2 linked regions of the Caenorhabditis elegans genome follow. The protein of the gene in region 1 interacts with the protein of each later gene in a biochemical or structural test. Each region holds a gene or a part of one and is shown in the gene's direction. Other genes may lie near its edges. The genes, in order: lst-1 and fbf-2.

Region 1 (12,598 bases):
TAATCTAAGTTCAAAAAATTTTATTTAATTCAAGAAAAATGTTTCAGGAAAAGAAATAAATTGGTCCACTGGAGTTAGTGTGATAAAATCCGATTTTATTTTTGTTTCACAATAAACTAAAATCCGGAAATTCAGCAAAAATCAGATGTTATTCAAAATTGCAGGATGTTAGAAATCTTTAAGACCTTCTGAAAACTGTAAGCAATACTTTAAAAGTGGAATAATAAAAGTAGAATTAGCATAAATGCATGGAAATGGCTTTTCCCTGGTGCCCCCTAACCGACTAAAATATACGGCTCCGGCAGTTCCAAAACTCACATCATGTCGCAAATGAATGATAATTTCGATTCCGTTCACCTTCACATCAATATCATTTGGTCCAAAGAATCCAGCATCAAGTCCAACTTCGAATTTCTCCGAAGTGTTGGTCACCTTCACGACACCATCGTTATGCTGAAGGGGCCAATCCCAAGAAGCCGCCGAGTCAGTTGTAATTGGAATTGTGTGCATTCTGAAATGTTGTTTGAATTATTATGTGAAAATGTACATAATTTCAACAACTGCAAGGAAGACTGTCTGCCTACCTACGAGGCGTCTCGTCCTATTGCGTGGGTACAAGAGGCCTTAGAAATTGTATAGTTAGTTAAACAATCAGCAAGCCCATTTAAAAAAAGATGAAAGATATGGGGTAGGCAGGCAGACACGAGGCAGGCACCTAGACATGAATTTATCCCAGAAAAGTTAGATAAAAATGTTTTACTCCCGTTAAAAAGGAGGAAACTCGTCACGAATTTGATCTAAAGTTTCAAGTAATTTAAATATTATTAACTTTTGAAATCTTATTGGAACACAAAGTTTTGAAAGCACGTATAAAGTTGTTTTTTAAAGTCACAAAATGTGCAAAAACTGTGATAATAAAGTTCTCAAGGCAAAGTGAAATGAAAGCAGAAGCTCCTTTCTCTCGAGAAGAACCCGAGAGAAATAGTGTCGGGGTGTAAAGTGCGATGTGTTCGATGAAAGAAGAGCAGTTTACTACAAAGTGTAATATAATTTGATCTCGAGGAACTCCCGTAGTGATAAAGTGCACAATAACACGAAAGTATATTGAAAGTTCGGTTGGATTGGGACATTTGTAGAAATCAGCTGAAAGCTACGGATGACGAACGAATGGAAGTTGGTCAAAAAAGTCAAAAAAAATTCATTGGATGGCAATTTTCATCAAATTTTTGATATCCTTTTCAAAAGTTTTTACATAAATGCTTGACTTGAGAGTTAGAATTTTCATATCAATATTGAAAGTTTGGTAGATTTCCCGCACACGACTGGAGCTCACGGGAGCCATTCTGGACAACCTTGATTTGAGGTTTTTGATAAAACAGTTGTTCATTTTTTTCAATCATACTCTGAAGTTCCAGAACACACCGGTATTCCAGAACACGTAGGAAATGACCCTTCTGCTTATTTGTAATTGTCTAATGTCTATTACACGTTGAATAACGTATTTCAATAAATAAATAAATAAATAAGTTCAGCCCCTGAATGGGATTTACAATTTTTTTTTGCCAACTTCAATTATCTTTCTCCTTTACAAATATCATTAAAATTCTGAAGAGATTATCCAAATATATACTTTGTATGTATTATTCGCGTCATCTTTTCAAAAGTTCTATTTTTGTGTGCAGAGTTATATGTGGTTGCAAGGTATCATTATAATTAATTACACACCAGAAATCCAAGTGCTCGCACTCGCAATGCTATACTCTGAAAACGGAAAAAATTGTCTACTTTTAAACTTGTTCAGAGTAAACTAACTGTGTTTGTTAGCTTTCATAGTGATAAGTCTCAATTCTGTGAAAATTGACTTTTCGTGGTTACTTTTACAATTTAATAAGTATCTAGAAATATCCAAAAACTAAATCTGAAGACAGATAGTTAAAAAAAATTGATTATGATTCATACTTTTCCAGACTAAAAAGTTTGCTTTAAAAAATCTTTAAATTGCAAATCTGAAAATTCTGTTAATTTTTTCCAGGGAAGCTTTTCGGGCGAGAGGTAAATCAAAAGATAAAGATATTGGCTACTTGAAATCAAAAAATTCACCTCTAAATCTGCAAATTTTTTTTCTGAAAAATCAGAGGGGGGGATCCTCTAACCAATTTACCTGTCCAGACTGATTTCACACATCCGGTTCTGCGAATAATTTTTAAAAATTGGCGTAAATCAGCCATCCTCATATCCCCAAAAAACCGTTCATCGGGATTAACTTTTTTCCCGTTCAAAAGACAAGTTTTGGCAGAACATCCAAAACTAATTGTCATAAATATATCATCATATGACTCATTTTTGTATGACACAACAACGTTTACTCTTATAATTTCAAAATAACTATTTTTTGCAATATGCCCAATATCAAAACTGTCAAGTTTTATTTGCATTCTTCGGTGAAGTATTCATGTTCTATTTGTGTGTGGTCAAAAGAAAACTGCAAAACAAATAGGAAACTGTACGAGTCTCATCGCAATTTGATTTCACAAAACGATCATCAAAACCACCAAAAACCGTTTCATTGAATGTGCTTTTTTCGTTCCATTTCCACTTCCTCCTTTACAAAACTGTTATCCTTTTTTCTGGAATTTTTTTTTTTGGGTTTTAGACACTTTCAGACTTTTAAAGACAAAAAACCTTACTGATATTGAGAAAGTCAAAAGGAAAATAGATCAAGATAAAAAATTGGTGTCGGACCATGAGATTCATGAAATTTTCTCGAAAATAAACTTTGCTCCAAAATATATGTTAAGCCTCTTTCATCGCCCTCCTCGTGCCCGTCCGCCTTCTGAAAACTAGATCCATTCGGAAAAACCAATGAAAAACGTTAAGAGATGTTTGCTAATTTTTTTTAAACGTTTGATACAAATTGCCAAAAGCTCCCTATAAGGCTTTTATGGTAGGCAGGCACTTATGCCTATCTATGCCTTCTTGCCTGTCTTTTGTTTTCTTCTGTGTTTGATGTCCACATAGTATTGTATAAATTCACACATTCAGTATTGTATTAATTCTACAGTATGCTCTAGGTAGGTAGGTAGGCATGCGACCTATCTTGGGATATTATTCGCGTCTGTTTACCTCTAATTTAGCAGATAATCCGTCGTTTTCGCAAACTTATCACCTTTTCAAATCTCTTTATTTCTCTGTCTCCCTATTCATAATAATTACTTGAATCCTTCCTCTTGTTCTCATATTCTCTCATTAGTTTCTCCGTCTCTTCCAAAATGTTGCTTTTACCGCGCGAAAGGGTGTACGTAGTGACACTTTGTCTCTGTCTCTCGAGGTCACCAATAACACGCTATGGCTCGAGGTGTCCTGTCCGTCCATATGAAGGTGAACATGAGAGAGACAGTGAGAGGGATAGAGACGTAGAGATATCGATATCAAAGAGTGGAAGAGTATGCAGATACGATGCGCGAGAAAATGAACAAGTAGAGGAAGAAGAAGAACACTGTCCCTCTCTGTCTTCATCGTTTTCTATGTTTGTCTTGACCTCTCTCTCTCTCTCTCTTTATTCTTTTTTCTGCTCACACACAGTCGTGGCAGGGCAGCAGCAAATAGAACCATAACGGGTAAGAAGTAGAGAGTGGGCGTCGTGTGTTCTTTTTGATGATTCATCACTGCTGCATCCGACCCGTTATTCGGGACGACCATTGACACTTTATCGTTTCATTTACTCCAATTACGTCCTTTTTTTGTCGTGACACTAGTTTCTGAATAGTTTTGTAGCATGTAGTTTATGGGAAAAATATTTGTTCTTAATTTTTAACTGAATTTTTTTAAAAGAAAAATACCACGAGCCCTGGCCATCTCGGCTCACTTCATAGATTTCAATAAGGTTTTCACTACAAAAATATAGCAAAATGAAATATTAATATTTTTGTGGAACTTTCCAAGGATTAAACAAAATATAATTAAGTTATGAGATGTCAAAGTTAAGCAGTAGTCCCCCTCCATGCACCAACTTTGGGAGCTCATATCTGGGTTGTGTTTTGATTTATCAAAAAATTACTAACTAACGAAAAGTTTATTATGTTCAATTTTGTACCTGCAAATTTAACCGAGATATAAGTTAACAAAGTAACAGTACTTGGGTGCACCATGTTTTTGTCGCTCCACTTAAATAGACCTTTCTTGGCTTATTATATAGTTATTAAAAATGTTTAATTACAAAAATATAGAAAAATAAATTATTATCACAATGTTAGTTTGCAATTTTTAAATTTAGCAAAAAGATAGTCAAGTTGTGAGCTACCAAAGTCTGAGAATCACAGGCCACCTTCTCTTTTCCGGAGGCGATTTCGGGTGAGAGAGGGTGATTGTGAGTTGCGCCCCCCGTCGAAAGGTTACGCGATAACTAATATTTAGTGAGTAAGTAAAATAGTTTAGAAACAAAATATTGGGTGGTTTACTCTAACCTCCCGAATGCCATCTAAATATTTACATACTGATAAAGTTCAAATAGCACACAGGTTTTTTGTGTACACTTTTTCACTTACTCGAAACATAAGATGTTCGCTATTTATTTAAGATTTTAAGAAGAAGATTACTTCTTAACTTATTACTAATAGTAAGCATTCTTCTAGAAAACTAAAATTTTATTTTTCCTCCAGCTTTAAAGTATTCGAATACTTGACCTCAATCTGTCTCTCATGTTCCTCCATCTGTTCAAATACGTGACAAAAAACTGATAAGAAGGAGAGCTTGCACTTGAAGTTTACACTTTTAATAATCTTTCAATTGTTACTACTGACGGCATTCCATTTAGTTAATCGGTTTATTGAATTTTGAGTGTGATTTGATAAAAAGAAAGTTAGTGAGAATTGAATCGCGTTCCTAGTGATAAAGTTTTTGGAAACTTTATAGTTTTCGTTGTTTTGTAGTTTTTTCTTTACAATCGAAATTTTATTGTATGGCACCAAAGTAAGCTAAAGGCACACAGGTCCATTCGGATGGGTCTCGCCACGAAAAAATGTTTTGATAGCCCATTTTTGTGGTGATCGCTGCAGAATTTTCAAAGATTTTTTCGTAGGTTTTCGGTAAAATTTTTTATAAAACTTAAATATTTATAAAAATTAGAAAAAACACATAAATTGTGCCAAATGTAAGAAAAACTATTTTGAAAAATCGATGAAAATTCGACGGAAACGAACATTTTGAATCTACAGTAGTCTCAAGGAGTACTGTAGATTTAAGGCGCAAACCTGCTTGTATTTAACATAAATTCAAGACCTGGTACTTTATTTTCGTCGTAAAAATTGCAAAATTTCGTACCTAGGTAATATTTTTATTTTTTATTTTTTTAAAACAAAATTTTCATGCAGTTCCGTTTTCAAAACGATAATAAAATCTTCGAAGTGTCTGAAATGTCGCTTTTTTGTTATCTTAAACCTTTTTTCCGTTTAAATTTAATGTTTCCTTGATAAGTTCCAATTTCCCAAACATCTGAGAATGCTTAGATATCTTCCCAAAATGTTTTCAAATTGACAAATGGCTGTATTGTTCAATGATTCATCTTGTCATTCTTTTCTCCTAAAGAAGAGGTCTCCATTCATCTTCTACCTGCCGTTATTGACCACCTACTGTCGTAGTTTTTATCGTTTCATTTAGTCACTCTAATTACTCTCATCTCTTTTCATTTTTCCCCCATTTCGATTGAAATTAGATTAGTTCCGATTGAAAGTGTTCGGATTTTAGGTTGATGAGGCTTCGATGACAATTTTACATTCCAATTTTAAAACTTCTATATTTTACGAACGAAATATTTCCAATTCCGGGACGCGTTGAGAGGTATGCGCCTTTAAGAAATACAGTAACCCGCTTGCAAGGAATTTTACACGTTATTTTTTTCTCGCTAAGATTTTTTTTTTGCCTTATTTTTCAGGTTTTCATGTAATTCTGCTTATTTTTGAAATAGAAAAACTAGAAAAAGCTTAAGAAAATTGCGAAAGGGGAGTGGGTTACTGTACATCTTAAAGGCGCACACCTTTTTGAGCGGCTTCGATTAATGGGAAACTATTTTCTTTCCCATCTGGGAACGTTTTTCTCAAATTTAATTGCTTGCCCAAGCGATTTTGAGGTTTTTTTTCAATTTTCAGACTAATCCAATGTTTTTTCTTTAAAAATAAACTTTTTGTCGATTAAAAACATGTTTTTAAATGTTTTTAAAGCCCGCGAAATTCAAAAAAGCTCTTGCATTCTTGCTCCATTGCATTTTCCCACGCCTCCCCCAGGCGTGGGAAAATACGTGGGAAAATGACAACTTTCCCACGCTTGTTATTTTCGATGAATTGTCCAATTATTCGTCGGTGCCATGTTCTTTCTCATTTCAAAAGAATTATTTGACTATTCAATCTTCGCGCGAGACAATGTGTTCGACTTTTATTCTTCCTCCAAGAGTGAGTTCACTTTTTTTTTGAAATTAAATATGTATTTTCTCTTTCCGATTGAATTGTTTCAACGATGATCCCGATTCTCCAACTTTCTCCATTTCTTTTATTACCTTCAGTTTTATAATAATATTATCATTTTTCAGAGAAACAACTGCAACAAAAGCAGTAGTACCATCGCCTACTCGAAGTCGCAACACGAGGCGCCGAAGCAAGTGAGTTGGAAGTTTTATTTTTCGTTTATATAAACGTGTCGAAACTGACCTATTTTTTGTCACGCCGTTCACGTGGCTTTCGTCACTAAATAGAATTTTGCGCTCCAAAAACAGAATTTTGCTCTTTTTTAATTAAAATAAATAATTTTTCATTAAATAGACGTAATTAATAAAAATTAATTTCAGCTGCTTCAACTCCGATCTGAAATCAAGCCGCTGATTCCGCTCAATCAACCTTCCAATTTTTGGGAATCCAGTCAAGATAGCGGAGTTCTCTCCAGCTTGTCATCTTCTCCCCAACAACGTTCGGGCCTGAGAAGTCAAAAATTGCATTTGACGTATATAGAGAAGAACAAGAGAGTTCGTGCAATGATTCCACAACAACAGCATTATCATGCATTTGATCGCCCGACACACTACAATTCTCGAAAAACGTCTGGCCCACCACCACTGATGAGAACACCATCTTCCGGATTTTCGTCGGCTTCTTCGTCGGAGAACATGTTTTCTGGATTGACATTGTCAGACAATGAGAACAAAATCCACGAAATCATGGATCCATCAGTTGACGTGGATCTTGACATGTTTCTTTTGCCTGATTGTCGATACAAGCAACCAGTGCAACCATCAACCAGCACATCCCGTAACAATGTGAGCCAGATCAGCGGGTCGAGTCGTCTAAATGGATCCACGAGACATGTCGCACCAATTGTTCCAAAAGTTGCAATGCCGGTGAGTTTAAAATAAATTTTAAGTGATTTTAAAGAAATCAAATTATAATTTTCAAAATTCAATAAAAATTTACTTTTTTCAGTCGGAGTTATCATATGCCAACGTGAAGCGTTCAAGTGGATATGTGGATTATATGCCAACAACTTACAATTCCAACGTGACGTCCAATTCGTCTGCAGCATCGGTTCCAATGTCTCCGGGCACATGGGTTCGGTGTCACTATTGCTGGGAGTCGTATGTGAAACTGTGCCAACGAGTTGCAAATCTCGAACCACTCATCTCATGTGATGGCCCATGGAATTGGCATACACTTTATGATATGCAAGGACGAGTCACGTATGTTTTTATTTATTCTTTGAAATCTAAAAATTGATATTTTTATCGAAACACGACCTAAAATTTTCTTTTAAAAAATTGTGTTGGAATTCGTAATTTTTTCGATTTTTAAATATCTAAACTTCGAAAATCTAATAATTTTTTTAAAAAAATCTTCTCAAATTATTATTATTTCAGATGTCCCCGACTGTGGTTTGCTCAACTCGATCGTGCCGGTTCAGAAATGGTCGAACAAATGGGACACGCTCGAAATGTTCCAGTCTAAGCAATAAAATTGGTTTAAATATCAATTAATTTATATTTTACCACCCCCTTCAAATGTTCTTCTTGTTTTACACTATCATCCAAAAAAATGCGGTTCTCTTCTTGATTCTTTTGTTGACGAATACGGGCATTCCGTGTGAGCGTTTTTCTTTTTTATATTAATTCTTTCTGATCCTTATTAGCTCCTGCCACACACACCATTTTATGTTTAACTTACATATTACCACCATCCCTGTTTTTTGATCCCCTTCCCTTTTTTAATAAAACATAATCAACTGTGCGAATTATGTGAATTTCAAATCCCATCCAATCTTTCGCTGTATATCCATGTGCTCTTTTGTCTCTGGTGGGATCTTGCCCGATAAAATAAAGATGTCAAATATTTACTTTTCGCTATTCTTATTCATTTATTGGCAGGAATTTCAGAAATTAAATCTCAAATTGGGATGAGGCACACAGTTGAAGATTTTCGGAATTTTCCACACATTATTCATCGATCACTGGAAACATAATATCATGCGCGAATAGATTGAACATGCTTCAACAAACTTCTCGAAGGATCGATGCATAGGGGTGCTCCAAGAGGCTTCTCGTGTGTAATATTTGCCGTGATTACACTCATCCACATCTCGCGAACTCTCCGCCTTTCCCTCTTTTTCCTGTTTCTTCTCGAAAAATCTTTACTATTCGACACTTTTTGTGAACATTTATTTTTCTACTGAAACTTCTGAAAATGGCTGTAAAAAAGAATAAGAATGTGCCAAAACAGGAGGATCCATTGGTTCAGAAAGACGAAATTTCGTCGATTCATGCTAGAATTAAGGTGATTTTTTTTGTACTTATTTAATTTCTTAAAAATCAAATTACAGATTTTCGAGACACCGTTCGCCACTCAAGTTCTCAATCCAAAAGTGAGCGAATTCTGTGCAAACTGTCTTCGTGGTCCTGCTCCAGGAGAGAAGCTTCTTCGTTGTGGTGGATGTAATTTCTCAATGTATTGTAGTAAAGAGTGTCAGGCAACTGCCTGGTTAGTTCATAAACCAGAATGCAAAAGACTGAAAGCTGTGGGTTTCTAACTAAAAATTGGAATTAATATTAAATTTGAGAGCTTCCCAAATCTTCCACTCACTGAAGTTTTGTTCCTTTCAAAAGTTATCGATCGTATTCAGTTTTTGGAGAAAAATGGAGATAAATTGGGAATTGAGGCAGAGAGGAAATTCTCGAGTTTGGTTGACCATAAGGTTGATATCAGGTGAGAATAATTGAAAAACTGGTGAATAGGATCTTTCAAGAGTCAAAAATCAACGATTATGTCAATTTAATTAGATTTTGTCGCGACTTTTCGTATCTTTTCAGTATAAATTTTTCTAGAGCACGAAAACATACCAATTTACTAAACGCTAACGCGAAACGCGAAATAGAACAAAAATCAGAATACTTTTAACGAATTTTTCAGCAAAATTGGAATTTTAACTATTTGTTTAGATGGTATTCTTCTAATATTCGATTAAAAAAATAAATGTTCTTACTTTTGTTCATGCTTGTTACAAATAAAAGCCAAAATGAATTATGAAAAATCATGAAAATACGAAAAATCGCTAGGAATCTAAAATATTAACTAATAGTTAATTGTCCGAGAGGAGTACACGCGCGAGTGCACTGGAGCACTCATTTGCGCGCGAAATTCAAATTAGATTAACGCGGAGGTCGATTTTCAGCTTTTCGAAGCCATGGAATAGGCGTTTTAAGATATTTGAAAAATATCAAAAACACAATTTTAGAGACGACGAGGAGAAGATGGCTCATTTTGAGAAAATCTTCGAGAAAATGGGAGCCTTCCGAGGAGAGGAAATGATTGAAAAAGGCGAATTCTTCGATGTATTCTGTAAGGCTACAATCAATTCTCACAGTATTCACACAAATGCTGGAAATGAAGTCGGAATGGCTCTTGATTTGGGTGTTTCAAAGTATAATCATTCATGTCGTCCAACATGTTCAATGGTTTTTGATGGATATCGTGTATGTCTTCGACCACTGGTTCCAGGTGTTGATGCTGAAAATACTGAAGAAGCATTCATTTCGTATATTGATGTGGGAAGAAGCAAGTATATTCGAAGAAGAGATTTAAATTCAAGATGGTATTTTAATTGTGAATGTACAAGATGTATGGATCCAGAAGATGATGCATTGACAGCTATTCGATGTGCAAATCCGGCTTGTGATGCTCCAATTGTTAGTTTTTTTTTCAAAATCTAAACGCTTTTGCAGGAAATTCAAATGTTCAATTCGATCGGTCGATCTAGTGTTACAATTTTCTGAAACGTATACTTAGAGTACTGTAGCTGAACAGTTTCGCTCGTCACGAGACCCGAGCCCTTTGAATTGGCAACAAAACTTGCTCTAGAACTTAATTCATTTTCTGAAGAATCAAAGCGAAATTCCAGCTAACATCTGAAACTGAAGAACCAATGAACATTGCTTGTGAAAAATGCAAAACGATTGTCGAAGAGGATACTGTAAAAGCAGCTCAAGAATACATGAAAACCCTTCCAGCATCATTTGATCCAAAGTGTCCAGCAGAAATTGTAAGTTTTCTTTGATTATTATAACAATGTACTGTAATCTTTGTAACTTTCTGAAAAGTAAAGGCGCAAGAATTTATTAGGATAGGCCTCGCCACGAAGAACTGTTTATGGTAGCACGCGGTGGGACCCATACATATATAGTTTAATAAAGCCTTTGCAATATTTTAATTTTTAAGCAAGTTTTCAAATGATTAGCTTTGGTTTAAATTGAAATATTAATATGTAGAGTTCTGAATAAAATAGACAAAACTCTCGGTAAATGATAAATCCCAATTCAGGAAGCTCTTCCAGGCAAGGTTTGTTTATTATATTCAAAGGCGTGTGTTCTCCTCGGACACTCCTTCCCTGCTTTTCCCTACGATTTCTCTCCCCTCCACAATTTCCCCATCTTCCTCTCCGACATTATTATCCATCACTATTTTTCGTTCTCCTCTACGCTTCAAATATCCTCGGTTCCCAGAAAGTTTTCGTCGCATCGGTGGTTCAGTGGTAGAATGCTCGCCTGCCACGCGGGCGGCCCGGGTTCGATTCCCGGTCGATGCAATTCTTTTTCGTTTTTTACCCTAGAGCACATTCATTCCAAAACCCCCCAGCTTCTCATAGGGCTCCAGTAAACTTTTTTAATTTTGACTTTTTAGCTCAAAGAACTCCTTGCAAAAGCCGAACAAATACTGCATCCATCAAATGTCTACGTGGCAAGACTCAGAACCGCATTATTCCACGTCACAGGAACTCTTACGATGGATAATCTATCCTCAATGCATACACAAATCTACAACAACTATAAAATGTGTTTCCCGAAAGCAGATCGACACGTTGGATTCCAACTTCTTCATATTGTAAAAGCATTAATTGAAAAAGACGAGAGAGATGAAGCCATGCCATACGCATTTGATGCTATGAATATTTTCGAAGTTTGCTTTGGATTAGACCATCCATATTACCTTCAAACTCTTGCATTGTGGACTTATTTAGAGAAAAAGGTATTTAAAATTTTTTTAATTAAGAGTTTTTGCATTAAAAATCAAAAAAATTCAGATTCCAAAATCAACCGAAGAACTCGTTCAACTCACAAATTTCTCCGATAATCGTCCAATTGATATTGTGAGCCTCCTGAAAAGAGCCAACATGCTTCCACCGCCACCGTATGCTGCTGGTACTCCAGGTGTTGCTTAACCGGTTAAAAATTTTGCTTCATAAAATTTTTAATTTTGTTTTATTTTTTCAATTGTTGGTAGCCCAACGTTCCTGCTAATTTGTTATACGTTCCTCTGCAATAAATAATTGGTTTTTAAAAAATTCATTTAAAACTTTTAACTTCGACACTTTGAACATCGAAACGTGAACTTTTCTCTATAAAAATCGAAATAAACAAAGTCTACACTCAAAATAATAAAACTGCGTGGCGTGTACTGCAGAAAACCTAATATTTAGGCCCCGCCTTTTTTTCGTCCACTCACGGGGAAAAGGCAGAATTCGGGGACCAACCAATATCAGGCCGCCGACATCTCATGGGTTCCGCGCGCCGCTATGTTTATCTCGCAGCGGGCGGAGACAGCTTGCCACACCCACAACGAGTTAAACATAGCGGTGCGCGGAACCCATGAGATGTCGGCGGCCTGATATTGGTTGGTCCCCGAATTTTGCCTTTTCCCCGTGAGTGGACGATAAAAAGGCGGGGCCTAATTATGAGGTTTTCTGCAGTACACGCCACGCAGTTTTATTATTTCGAGTGTAGTCTCTTATAAAAATTCAGAAATTTTGAATTTCGACTGCTCATTTCGAAATATTTCATATTAAAACCAAAAAATGTGTAAGTTTTTGGAATTATTTATATTCAAAGAAAAATGAATATGTTTCAGCAACGAATGAATTTGAAAGAATAGATAGTCTAGCGAAGATATGTGATGATCATGAGAAAAATCTACGTCGATCACTGGAAAATGTTTCTCAGCGGAATACGGTATACACTGTTTGCGCGTAAATTATGGTGCATTCAGTCGGTGTTTCAGCATTTTCAGAGCTAATTTTC
Region 2 (13,327 bases), on another chromosome or scaffold:
TGTATCGAATCACTGCAAGAAATCGAAAGGTGTATATGTTCGTGAGCCTAACTGGAATGGACCGCAGGAATTCACGATTGGCGTTGAACCAATTTTCCAGAATCATCTATCTGATAACAATTTACCTGCAATCAGTTTTGAGAAACAGATTATTTTACAATCAACTGCTCCATGGGTTTCTCATCCACAAACAATGTTTGTGGTAGCTCAAGAAAGAACAATGGTTGTGACCGTTGATGCATCAAAAGCACCAAAAGGTGCAAACTACACTGAAATTGTTGGAATTGATACGGCTGATCCATCATTGGGACCGATTTTCCGTATTCCGGTTACTGTAATCAATCCTGAGAAGGTAGCGGTTGATCAATACACTTCTAGACTTGTTGGTAAATCGGGAGTCACCGAAAGACGATTTGTCGAAGTACCGTCGTGGGCAACCAGTGCAAGTAAGTAAAAAATGAAAATTAAAGAAAATTCTATTAATCTCATCATTTTACAGAGATAACACTCCGATCTACTAACAAAGACGAAATGGATAGATTTACACTTCATACGGTCTACATTGAGGATGATAAATGTTCCCGAAACACAGAAACTCAAAAAATACAGGGTCCAATTGGAAATGAATGGAGCAAGTCGATTACTGTTCAAGGTGGAAAGACTCTTGAAGCATGTGTTGTTCGTGCTTGGTCACGTGGAAAGAATCCTGTGGATGTTGACATGACCATCGACTTCTTTGGAGTCAAAAAGCCAACTTCTATTTCACTGATTCATGGAGCAACTAACACGCCCATTCGCTTCCAAGCTGCTCCAACGAAAAGTATCGACGTTTCTCCTTCGATTTCTCTAAAATCACTTGTTGTATCACTGAAACCACAATCTGCCAAAGTAGAACCATTGGGACCACGTGATATGTTCCTTACGTCTGGACTTCAAATCAATCGTCTTCTGTTGACTTATCAGCTTAAAGGTAACCTTTTTTAACTACATAATTATTAAAATATTATTTTTTCAGTTCAAAAACCAAGTGAAGTGCAACTTCAACTTGCTGGCCTTACTCCATATTTGTATGAATCTCCTGTGGACTGTGTACTCTTCCAAATTTTCGGAGCAAACAAGTCGTTTGTGGGTGCTTCTTCTTCGTACCCGGATCGTTGGACTCAGAAGCTTGAGAAAGGAGATTATACTATTCAGGCTCAGATTAGATATCCGGATGATCAAGTTTTGCAAGGAATGAAGGAACTTCCTCTGCTGTAAGTAATTCTTTAAATTCTAACTGAAATGATTTTTGTGTTTCAGTGTTCATGTGAAACTTGGAAACAAAATTTCTGTTGACCTCGCAGCTTCTGCCAGCGATGCAACACTTGGAAAAGAGTGCAAATTTGCTGGAAAAGCCCTTCTTCCAAATCAAGAAATGACCGTCTACGCTATGAATATCGCTGATGATAAATTGCCAAAGACTATCGTACCAACAAGTGGAAGTTTCCTTGCTGGAACATTTAGTGCTCTCAAGGATTCTGATTTGAGTGATGTAGACAAATCTGAAGTTATTTACTTTCTCAGTGAGTACTCTACTCGTCCTACGAAAGGATTGTCAATGGTTACAACAAAGAAAGATACGAATCAAAATCAGGAAATGACTGGTAGATAATAATTAAAAATTGTATCTTTTATTAAATTCATATTTACAGACGCCATTCGCGATTTGGAAGTATCATGGGTGCAAAAATTGACAGACGAAAAGGCAGCGAAAGAATTTTTCGAAGCTTGTCTGCAGAAGTATCCAGATCATCTCCCACTACTTCAGAATCGAGTAAAGCAATTGATGCAAGCAAAACTTGTGGATCAAACACCGGAAAACGTGCAGAAGATTATTGAATTATGTGGTCAAATTTTGCAAATCACAAAACCGAATGAAACTCTTCAGTTCTCATCCGTCAAGCAAGAACATGATGATGATCTCCTTACTGTTGACAAATGGCTGGCACTAACCGGAGGCAGTGAGGACCAGCGAAAGGATGTGGTGAAGTTGATTTCACAATTTGAGGAACGGAAGAAAAGTATTATTCTCGCTTTGCAAGCTCTTTCATCATTGGAGCAGGATATTGAAGTTCGTAAGAGCAAGTTCGACGTTCCAGCAAGTCTTCGTTTCGGAGGAATCACTCCTCTAATTTTCGGTGGAAAGCAAGGAGAAGTGATCAATAAGAAGTCTGAAGGTTATGAAGCACTGAAATCAAAATCTGAACAAATTGATGCAACTGTCTCTGAAGAACTGAAAAAGTTGGATAGTAATTGGACTGGAAATCAGTTTTACGTCAAGCTTCTCGTTTGGTTGTCTGCTGATGATACTAAAACTGCACTGATCTCTGCCAAACATGCAGCTGCTCTTGGACAATTTGGAAGATGTGCAAAGCTTCTCAACAAAGCTGGAGATGAACTGAAGTCGTCTGCTACTGATTCGCAAGCTGTTGATACATCATTGGCTGAAGTCTGCGAAAGTCTCGAGTGGAATCATCTTGCTACTCACTTTAAAAATTCGGCTCTGATCAAAAACAGAACCTCCTACCGTCTTTTCTAATTAGTGTATCATAAGAAATTTCGCGGGTTTCTTTTTTCTGGAAGCTTTTTTGCTTCCATTTCCGTTGTGAATCAAATGATTTTCCCATTTGAATAGATAAACTTTTATTGTTTTATAAATGAGATCAAACAAAAATTTTGCAGAGATACATTAAAATTATTAAGAAGAAGAATGTTCGAGGTTGCGACGAATTGATGCATGGCATGTACTCACAGAAGTTCCACCCAGTCATGTGGGTGAGAATCTTCTGATATTGGCAGTATGATTTGACAGCACTATTTCCACATGATTTTCTCACTACTGCTCGCTCACATTGTGTGGTTCGTGATACGGAGCTCAAAATTAAAAACTAATCTCAATAAGTCTGAAACTATTAGACTCACTCGCAACTGCCAACTTCCAAAACGGAACATTCAGTATAAATCGTGTCAGAGAGATCATTCAAACTGATTGCTTGCATACATTCATAATATGCCACAACTGAAATATTTATAAAACAATGAACGAGAATGAAAAACCTCACAATCATTTCCATAATTACAATAGAATTCAAGAAACCCCGTTTGTGAGATGTAATAAGCTGCATTGCTTTCTGAACCAAAAATTGCATTGAAAGTGTTATAGTTGAGACAATCATTGATGACGTCACTATGACAGTGACGTAGAGTTGTATATGTACTGTAATTATTCGTCTTTTTTAAAAATATTTATTCTAGCATGTAAAACCGGTTCTATTGAAATTCTTCAATAATTTTACAATTTAAAAGGTGTTGCAATGTTGTAATACCTTCACATACCTACACATTCCAGTGGCATCGTACCGAATTTTCTTAAATGGATCTTCGTCTGCTGGGGGAAGGCTAGTCACATTTGAACCATATGATTGAAACATATCTATATAACATTGTTGTAGCACTTGATCTTGATCAGAACTGCAGTTATGCAGCACTCCTTCGTTTCCCGCTACGGTTTGCTTCACTAGACCTGCTAAATCAACTTCGAGTGTCTCTAGCGATTTAGTAACGATCGTAACCACAACAACGAGAATATTCCAAATCATCAAATATAGGGAAAGAAAATTTTGTGTTTCGAGCAATTTAAAGTGTTTAGTCTGAAACAGAATAGCTCGTAAAATGTCGTCACCGTCAGTCGACCGGTTTATAGCTTTTCGGGAGGTTGAAATGTGTTTATCAATTTGATATGTTACGGTCCCGGAATTTTCCAAAAATTTTTATTGTTTCTAGTAATCATTAGTAATCAAATTGATAATTATTTTAAATACACTTTTTAATTCTTGAAACATGTGATTAGAATCTCGCATTATTTGAAAATTTCAATTTGGTTACGGTAGACAATGACAAAGTACGCAAACACCAGAGTATGTGACACACTTTCGTCATTTGCGAATTCGATTTTAAATATTATTTTCATATTCCCATTCCTATTTTCTGTGAATTGATAATTTTTCTATGAGTAATCATTCTAATAAAATTATCAACTAATCGACATGGACCAATCAAAGATGCGCAGAACGAATCAGTTCAGAAAAGTAAGTTTTCAGTAACTTCTAAAGAAACAAATGGCCTAAGTTTTACAGACTTCCCAGAAGCCTCCTTCTACAGGGATTGACAGTTATCCGACTCCCGCACAATCACCAATGGCGCAGCATGAGACACCTATGTGGGACTTCAACTCTCTCAACCCGTATTTCTCAATGCTCAATATGAACGATGGGATTAATTATGCTCGCCATCAACAGAATCACATTGTTACATCGCGGCCACCAACCCCGCTAACTGATTTGATGAGCCTTCGGAGTTTTCAGAGCTTTGTAAGTTAGAGTAGGCAATTTTTGGTTGTTTTCATTACTGATTTGCAGCCCAATGTGTTCATGCCGGTCTCGCGTAGCCGAACTTCATCATTCATTCAGTCTGATACGGATTCCTCGCGTCTCGAGTCGGATGATTTTTCACAAAATGTCCGATGTTTCTCTGCGGATATTGATCGTAGCAAGAGCTATGGTTCTTCAAAACACTACCATTTGAAATATTCGAGGTTCGAATTAATTTATCACTATCCTCTAGTATTTATTCTTTTTTATTTATAGACCCGCTCTGTCGAGGAACTCTAGATCATTCACAAGATCAAACAATGTGCTGCCAACCTGGTCCTTGGATTCCAATGGTGAAATGCGTTCAAGATTGTCGCTCTCTGAAGTTTTGGATAGTGGCGATTTAATGAAGTTTGCCGTTGACAAAACTGGGTGCCAGTTCCTAGAAAAGGCAGTGAAGGGCAGCCTGACATCTTATCAGAAGTTCCAATTGTTTGAACAAGTTATTGGGAGAAAAGATGATTTCCTTGTAAGTTTTAGTTTCTGCGAGCACACATGACTTTTCTTTTCAGAAATTGAGCACGAACATCTTTGGAAATTATTTGGTACAAAGCGTTATTGGAATTTCATTGGCAACTAATGATGACGGATACACAAAGCGACAAGAAAAGTTGAAGAACTTCATCAGTTCCCAAATGACAGATATGTGCTTGGACAAATTTGCGTGTCGTGTTATCCAATCCAGTCTCCAGAACATGGATTTATCCCTTGCGTGTAAACTTGTTCAAGCTCTACCTCGTGATGCTCGTCTTATCGCAATCTGTGTTGATCAAAATGCCAATCACGTCATTCAGAAAGTCGTAGCAGTCATCCCACTGAAGAATTGGGAGTTTATTGTGGATTTCGTTGCCACCCCAGAGCACCTCCGTCAGATTTGTTCTGATAAGTATGGGTGCCGTGTTGTGCAAACTATTATCGAAAAGCTCACTGCTGATTCAATGAACGTTGATTTAACTTCCGCTGCTCAAAATCTTCGTGAACGAGCGCTCCAACGACTCATGACTTCTGTGACTAATCGGTGCCAAGAATTAGCTACGAACGAGTATGCCAATTACATAATACAGCATATTGTATCCAATGATGATCTGGCCGTTTATCGGGAATGTATCATAGAGAAATGCCTCATGTGAGTGTTATTGTTTAATATCTACTTGATTTTTAATCATCAATATTTCAGGCGCAACCTTCTTTCGTTGTCCCAGGAAAAGTTTGCTTCTCATGTTGTTGAGAAAGCATTCCTACATGCACCATTGGAACTTCTTGCCGAAATGATGGACGAGATTTTCGACGGATACATTCCACATCCGTAAAAACATTAGTTTCAGTCACATAAAAATGAAATGTTTTTTCAGGGACACGGGAAAAGATGCCCTCGATATCATGATGTTCCATCAATTCGGAAACTACGTCGTTCAATGCATGCTGACTATTTGCTGTGATGCTGTGTCTGGAAGACGGCAAACGAAAGAAGGAGGCTATGACCATGCAATCTCATTCCAGGATTGGCTGAAAAAGTTGCACTCGAGAGTTACGAAAGAAAGGCATCGCTTGTCAAGGTTATCACTATTGTCACAATAATATTTTGAAATTCGAAATTCAGGTTCTCATCCGGCAAAAAGATGATCGAGACGCTTGCCAATCTCCGTTCAACTCATCCGATTTATGAACTCCAATCTTCGGGACACGATTCATTCAAGACGGATTACTTCAGTACTGCTTCCGAGCACGATGGTCCGGAGTTGGAGAAGAATGGGATCGAGGAAGGAAGCCTGATGCTAGAGCCACGGAGCAATAAGTCTTCAGTCTCTGTCAAATTTTCTTCTTCCGGTAGTCACGGCGATGATTAAGGTGGAACTTTCTCACCATAAATCTCATCCCACCCACTTATGTTCTGTTGTTTTGTAATATTTTAAACTGGTGCAATGATTTCGTTTCGATTTTAAGATCGATGTTGTGCCTTCCCCACTCTTATCATTGCCCAGTTTTGTTTTTTCTTTTCTTTTTTGTTATTTTATTGCTTTTTATGCAGTTGTGTTATTGTTTCTTTCTGTTTACTGTTCATTGTTTTTGTTAATTTTTTATTTTCGATTTTAATGAATCCAGATAAAATTAGACAACTTGGCAAAATATCGTTCGAGTCTTTGTCATGCTTCCACCGAGAGCTTCCTGCTTCCATACAATGCCTGCTCAGAAAACAATTTTGAAAGCGAAGAGAAAAGTTGTTCTTTGCTCGGAGAACAAAAAACTGATAACCGACAAATGTTGACTTTGTAAATTTAATCAAATTAGAAACCATGAAGAATAAATATAGTTCAATTATCATATTGAAATTTATCTTACAATTGCATCGATTTCAAAATAATGGGACTCTCAGAAAATAGAAAAACAAAAATTGGATACTGGGGATGAGGAAGAACTCCGCGAACATTGGCGGTCCTTCTCTCATGTGGTCCTCGTATAGGTGGTGGCAATCCTCTCATTGTTATCCAACATCGAGAAAATGTTCTTCGGCTAGAACTCTGAAACAAAAATACTTTCAAATTAAAATTGTCAAGATAAATTCGTACTTCCTGACACAATTTGTGTTGTTGCAGCGTTGAATTCGATTCCAAACCAAGTGGCAAGACCAAGACCCAGCAATGATGATGGAATAGTTGAATTGACAGAATTCCTCGAGCATATCAGCAATGGATGTTGATGCAAGTGGATGCAATGTTCTTCTTTTGTTTCTCATCAACGTTTGCCTTATGATTGTGAAGTGACTTGATGAACTCTCTCTGCCATGCTTAAAGAACTTGTTCAGCAGCAATTTCGTTCCATGCATCAATGTCTAATCCAGCCTTCATAGAGTTTCTTCCAGGCTTCTGCTTGAATCTCAAGAAAACATAGGCGGGGCTTGCAACGAGAAAAACTGATTGAAGAGCATCATCTCCTGATAGTTTTCCTCCCTTCTTGGCACGTCTTGGATCTCCTAGTATCATATCTTCAAGCCAATTAAGAACGTTAGATGCGAAACCAGAACATCCACTGTGTATACATATTCATCACTTCGGACCATTTGTCTTTGTTATCTTTCAACCATTCGAAAACAGACTTCCGGTATTATTTATAATCTGAAACATGACTTTATATTTTAATAGAAAAACGAATTTACTTAAATACAGTCTTTCAATTCTCTGGCTTTTTGCTTTTTCTCTTTTTCTTCTGCAGCTCTGGTTTCCTCCGGTGACAAAGTAGTCGTAGTTGGAATAGGAGCAGTTGTTACTGGAATATTTGCTGGTACTGCATCTTCAACTGCTGGAATCGCATCTACTGGTCTTTATTCTTAATCTTAAATTTTATGGCAAATACTGTTTTACTACTTGATCTTTTACTATGTATCTCTTTTACTACAAGATCTCTTTTACTACGGAATCTCTTTTACTACGAATTCCGCATTTAGATCTTTTACTACAATTGGCTCTTTTACTACGTGATCTCTTTTACTACCATTTGACCACATATATCTTTTACTACGGAAAATACTTTTTTACTACCTCATTTTTTACTACGTGGATCTTTCACTACGGTTTTTTATTCCGATGTTTTGCTACAGTTTGTATCTTTTGCTACGGTAGACATTTTTACTACAATGGCAGGGATTGTACTTTTCACTATGTTTCGTATCTTTTACTACTAATTTTTTACTACGAATTAAAAATTAATGTCTATAGTATTTTATATTCTAGATATAAACAAATGTATGAATTTTTTTTCAAAATACATAGGTCATAATTGTAGATGGAGTTAATGGAGGGAGACTGTTGAGTTACTGTAGTGGTATTGTGGAAATAACAGTTTTCAGATTATATAGTGTTTTTTTTAATTTCTGGAAATTTATTCACTATGAAATGAGCAGAACTTATTATGGCCATTTGGATCTAGAAATTAAAAAAAACACGATATGATCTCTTGCTCTCTTGTAAAACTTTTGTAAAAATTTCAGAAACATTTAAAAAGTCCTCTATAAATGTTTTAAAACTCAGAAGATTTTCTGAAAATGAAAATGTAGGTATCCTATCTCGGTCGTCAATTTATTTGTCATAGTTTTCAACTACAAAGTTGTTGAATATGGTATGATCTACGATTTGTCAGTTGAACATTTTTTTACCAAATTGTTTTTTCGCGGAGATATCGGTACTTGGAGTCAATACGTTTTATGAACTAACTTTTGACAACTTATCTCCGTTTTTTTTTCAAATCTAAAATCGTGATATAAACATTCAAATTGACCGAAAACAATAATAATTTTATACAAGATTCGATAAATTTAGAAAAAAAACATTTCTAAAGTGTTGATCAAAAGTTTCAAAATGTCAGCTGAAGTCAAAATTTTAAACACCTGACAGATAACTGACCGAACCCGCAAGTTTTTTATTACATTATAGACTTATACATATAGACATTATAGACAAAACTTATAGAGCAACGGGTATGGAACTAATTTGTTGGCTATGCGAAAAAAAAAAGAATTACTCCCACAATACCACTACAGTAACCCAACAGTCTCCCTCCATTAACTCCATCTACAATTATGACCTATGTATTTAAAAAAAACTATTCATACATTTGTTTATATCTAGAGTATAAAATATTATAGACATTAATTTTTAATTCGTAGTAAAAAATTAGTAGTAAAAGATACGAAACATAGTGAAAAGTACAATCCCTGCCATTGTAGTAAAAATGTCTACCGTAGCAAAAGATACAAACTGTAGCAAAACATCGGAATATGAAACCGTAGTGAAAGATCCACGTAGTAAAAAATGAGGTAGTAAAAAAGTATTTTCCGTAGTAAAAGATCTATGTGGTCAAATGGTAGTAAAAGAGATCACGTAGTAAAAGAGCCAATTGTAGTAAAAGATCTAAATGCGGAACTTGTAGTAAAAGAGATTCCGTAGTAACAGAGATCTTGTAGTAAAAGAGATACTTAGTAAAAGATCAAGTAGTAAAACAGTATTTGCCTTGAAGGCAGTAAGCAAATTCGTTTTTTTTTCTAGTAAAATATAAAACCACGTTTCAGATTGTAAATCATACCGGGAGTCTGCTTTCGAATGGTTAAAAGATAACAAAGACAAATGGCCAGAAGTGATGTCTGAAAACATGTACCCACAGAATGTTGATTACGCAGCAGAGATGACTGGAGGATGTTCTGGTTTCGCATCTAACGTTCTCAATTGGCCTGAAGATATGATACTTGGAAATCCAAGACGTGCCAAGAAGGGAGGAAAACTATCAGGAGCTGATGCTCTACAATTCGTTTTTCTTGTTGCAAGCCCCGCCGATGTTTTCTTGAGATTCAAGCAGAGCCTGGAAGAAACTCTGGAAACTCTCTCTCTCTATGAAGAACATTGCATCCACTTGCATCGACATCCATTGCTGATATGCTCGAGGAATTCTGTCAATTCAACTATACCATCATCCTTGCTGGATATGCTCTCATGCTGGCATATGCTATTGTTACTAATTCTCGATTTGACAACTGCCTTCCGGCTACAGAATCATCAATGGGGGTTCGCCCTTGCAGGAGTTCTTGTCGTCACATTCGCTTCAGTGGCAGGTATTGGTCTCGCCACTTGGTTTGGAATAGAATTCAACGCTGCTACAACACAAATTGTACCATTCCTCACTCTTGGAATCGGTGTTGATAATATGTTCATGTTATTGCACAACTATCGTGACGTTGTTAAACTTGCTGGCGGACACGCTGAGATGGCTATCCTGATGCGTGAAACTGGAATGTCAATTCTGTGCACTTCGATCAACAACATTCTTTCCTTCCTCACTGGAACTCTTCTACCAATTCCAGCTCTGCGATCATTCTGTGCTCAGTCCAGTATTCTTCTCACATTCAATTTCATAGCTATCCTTACAATCTATCCAGCGATCATTTCTATTGATCTTCGACGAAAGAAGGCTCAGCGTCGTGATTTCGACACTAGAGAAGAATCGTACTCGATGATTTCTAAACCAAAGATTCAAAGTAAACGAATTATTGGAGCACTTCGGAAGCTTCGATTATGCAACAGTTCGACGGAATAACTCAAGCGCAGATGGCATCGAGCGATGATCCAGCTCCATGGTCTCTTCATTCATTCATCCGTTACTACTACATTCCATTCATTTCTAAACCAGCATCTAAAGTAGCAATCATCGTTGGCTGCTGTGCTTTGCTCGGTGCATCATTTGTTGGAATGCGTCAGTCGACACTCGGTCTTGAATTGGGAGATGTTCTACCAGAACATACTGCACCTGCACAGTTCTTGAGAGCCAGAGACAAGTACTTCAGGTAAGAAGTTCGTTTTTGATTCAAAACATTTTTTTTTCTTTTTTCAGTTTCTACCCAATGTTCGCAGTCATCAAGGGACCTAACATTGATTATGCTCACCAGCAACGCCAGATTGACAATTACCGACAGTCGATTGGATCTTCAAAATATGTGATTAAAAATAAAAACGAAGAGCCATCAGAAAAGTATTGGCTGGGATTAATGCGAGACTGGCTCATTAGTATTCAACGCGGATTCGATGAAGAAGTTGCTAAAGGATCATTCAATCTTACATCTGGAACAGTTATTGGCAGCAATGTTTCCGAGGATGCTCGTCTTGCTCACGCTCTCATGTGCTCTCATGGTTCTCTATTTGAGTGTGCTGGAAGAATAGGAAAGATTCGACTAGTTGATGCAAGTGGAATTATCAACTCTGATGGATTCTACAACTTTCTTCCCAACACCACCAAAATGGGAATTGAGCAAGAATAATACCGAAAACTTCATCCCAACTGCTGAGCCACTTGCATATTCGCAGATTCCATTCTACTTAACTGGCCTCACGGATACTGCTGTGATTGTCGATGCCATAAAGGACATCCGAAGTGTTTGTGAACGATTTACCGATCAAGGACTTCCAAATTTCCCACAAGGAATCGCATTCACATTCTGGGAACAATATCTTTTCTTGACTGGAAATCTTATGCAAGCCATTTCGATCATTACCATCTCTGTCTTCTGTGTCATTTCCGTTCTTCTTTTTAATCCATGGGCTGCACTTATGGTTGTTTGTATTCTCGGAATCATGACTTGCGAACTTGCCGGATTCATGGGACTCGTTGGAATTAAGCTCAATCCGGTTTCAGCCGTAACTTTGATCACCGCAGTTGGAATTGGAGTCGAATTCACTGTTCATGTGGTTGTCTCATTCCTGACGGCGCTCGGAACAAGATCTCAACGAACGTCATCTGCAGTTGATCGAGTTTTTGTTCCAGTAATTCATGGATCATTCTCCACACTTCTCGGTATTTTGATGCTTGGATTCTCAGTTTGAGTGAGTTTTACAGAAGTATGGATGTCATCAGAATTTTATTTTTCAGATTTGTTGTCAAATATTTCTCTATTGTCATGACGGCTCTGATTTGCATTGGAACGGACTAATTCTTCTCCCAGTTTTATAATCTTGTTTTGTTCCAAGAAGAGAGATAAAATGTTTTGTTCCAAGAAGAGAGATAAAATAGAGATTCCGTAGTAAAATATCCAATTGTAGTAAAAGATCTAGATGTGGAATTCTTAGTAAAAGAGATTCCGTAGTAAAAGAGATCCTGTAGTAAAAGAGATGCGTTGTAAAAGATCAAGTAGTAAAACAGTATTTGCCCAAAGTCTGACCAGCGAATCATATCATCAACTGACAGCGCACTCAACGACGTCCCAAGTGATCGGAGTGAGGATTTTGGGAGAGATGGATGCGGCTCAAAAGCTTTCGATCCATCGCAAAAATAATCTATTGGAGTAATCCAAATGCATATCATATCGATGACGTCACCAAGCGAGGAAGCGGCAGAATCGGCTGCGACAGATGGTGGAGCTGGTTTGAAGCAGATGTCGGATAGAGACCAGTCCCTAAAATGATCAATTGTTACAAGAAAAATATATTGGTAGTCTTCACTTACACTCCATGAACTGAAACGTTGAAACTAGCGATGTGCTTCATAATCTCGGCGTGTTTTAGAAGAGCGAAGAGGTCCTGCAGCAAGTGCATCTTGTCCCACACGTTTTTTTTATTTTCCAATAATCCACATTAATTGTAATCAATGTTGCAATCTGAAAAGTGAAAATCAGCTAAATCAGAAAAAAGGAAACAACTTACGTTGAGAGTTTAAATATATAAAAACCAGCCGTTCGCACGCGCTGAAGCGCGTGCTCCGACTGGCGTACTCAAAATTAAAATCAAATTCTGAAATTTCTGAGCCTTTCTTTGCAGATGAAACGTTTTTCCCTGTTTTCCGGAAGTTCTCGAGCAACATAAATATCTACAAACTATGGAACAAACGGCCTTCATTCCGAGATGACAAACTTTTTGGTGGCAAAGGTTCTTTGGGGGCATAGTATCCAAGGAGACAAAGTATCCAGTAGACAAACTGGGGTGTATCTTGGGGGGCATATCTTTGGTGACAACCTTTTTTTCAACTAGATTTTTATATGTATTTTTCAACTAATTTTTGTTCACATTTTTCTGGAATAAGTTTTTTAATGCAATTTTCAATCGATTATCGGTTATAATTCCCTCACAATTAAATGTATGAACGATGGTCTTTTGGGAAAAGCTGTAAAAGGTCCAACTAACTTGGAATATCGTGAGGCTCTTCCTGATGGTCTGATCCTTCAGCTCCGAGGGATCACATAGGTACCTTCTGATGTTCTGATCCTTCAGAAAAGAAGGATCGTAAGGGTACCTCCTGATGGTCTGATCCTTCAGCTCCAAAGGATCACGAGGCTCTTCCTGATGTTCTGATCCTTCAGCTCCGAAGGATCACATGGGTACCTTCTG

What was found.
Region 2: the proteins of lst-1 (region 1) and fbf-2 are reported together in a solved structure, tested with the Caenorhabditis elegans proteins (one study listed by BioGRID).

The regions. Positions count from the first base shown.
Region 1 is NC_003279.8:10,582,099-10,594,696, forward strand, and holds lst-1 (Lateral signaling target 1 protein), read left to right. Parts: upstream 1-6,402; 5' UTR 6,403-6,413; coding exon 6,414-6,443; intron 6,444-6,574; exon of another isoform or gene 6,575-6,580; coding exon 6,581-6,649; intron 6,650-6,835; coding exon 6,836-7,381; intron 7,382-7,463; coding exon 7,464-7,717; intron 7,718-7,894; coding exon 7,895-7,982; 3' UTR 7,983-8,366; downstream 8,367-12,598. Other genes in the region: hsp-12.1 (SHSP domain-containing protein), read right to left, coding at 319-510; Histone-lysine N-methyltransferase set-18, read left to right, coding at 8,715-8,804, 8,851-9,045, 9,088-9,233, 9,763-10,213, 10,426-10,566, 10,845-10,862, 11,205-11,549, 11,605-11,742; T22A3.12 (Cilia- and flagella-associated protein 157), read left to right, coding at 12,376-12,379, 12,429-12,529. UniProt on the Caenorhabditis elegans protein: Plays a role in germline stem cell maintenance, perhaps acting in concert with mRNA-binding factor fbf-2.
Region 2 is NC_003280.10:6,082,131-6,095,457, reverse strand, and holds fbf-2 (Fem-3 mRNA-binding factor 2), read left to right. Parts: upstream 1-3,977; 5' UTR 3,978-4,085; coding exon 4,086-4,127; intron 4,128-4,175; coding exon 4,176-4,409; intron 4,410-4,457; coding exon 4,458-4,633; intron 4,634-4,685; coding exon 4,686-4,938; intron 4,939-4,981; coding exon 4,982-5,595; intron 5,596-5,646; coding exon 5,647-5,775; intron 5,776-5,821; coding exon 5,822-6,025; intron 6,026-6,069; coding exon 6,070-6,316; 3' UTR 6,317-6,595; downstream 6,596-13,327. Other genes in the region: tpp-2 (Tripeptidyl-peptidase 2), read left to right, coding at 1-446, 500-970, 1,016-1,253, 1,300-1,643, 1,692-2,578; nspg-3 (DUF19 domain-containing protein), read right to left, coding at 2,703-2,913, 2,962-3,058, 3,102-3,256, 3,376-3,638; F21H12.3 (uncharacterized protein), read right to left, coding at 11,952-12,399, 12,450-12,538. UniProt on the Caenorhabditis elegans protein: RNA-binding protein that binds to the consensus sequence 5'-UGUGCCAUA-3' in mRNA 3'-UTRs. Involved in the control of stem cells and sex determination in the C.elegans hermaphrodite germline.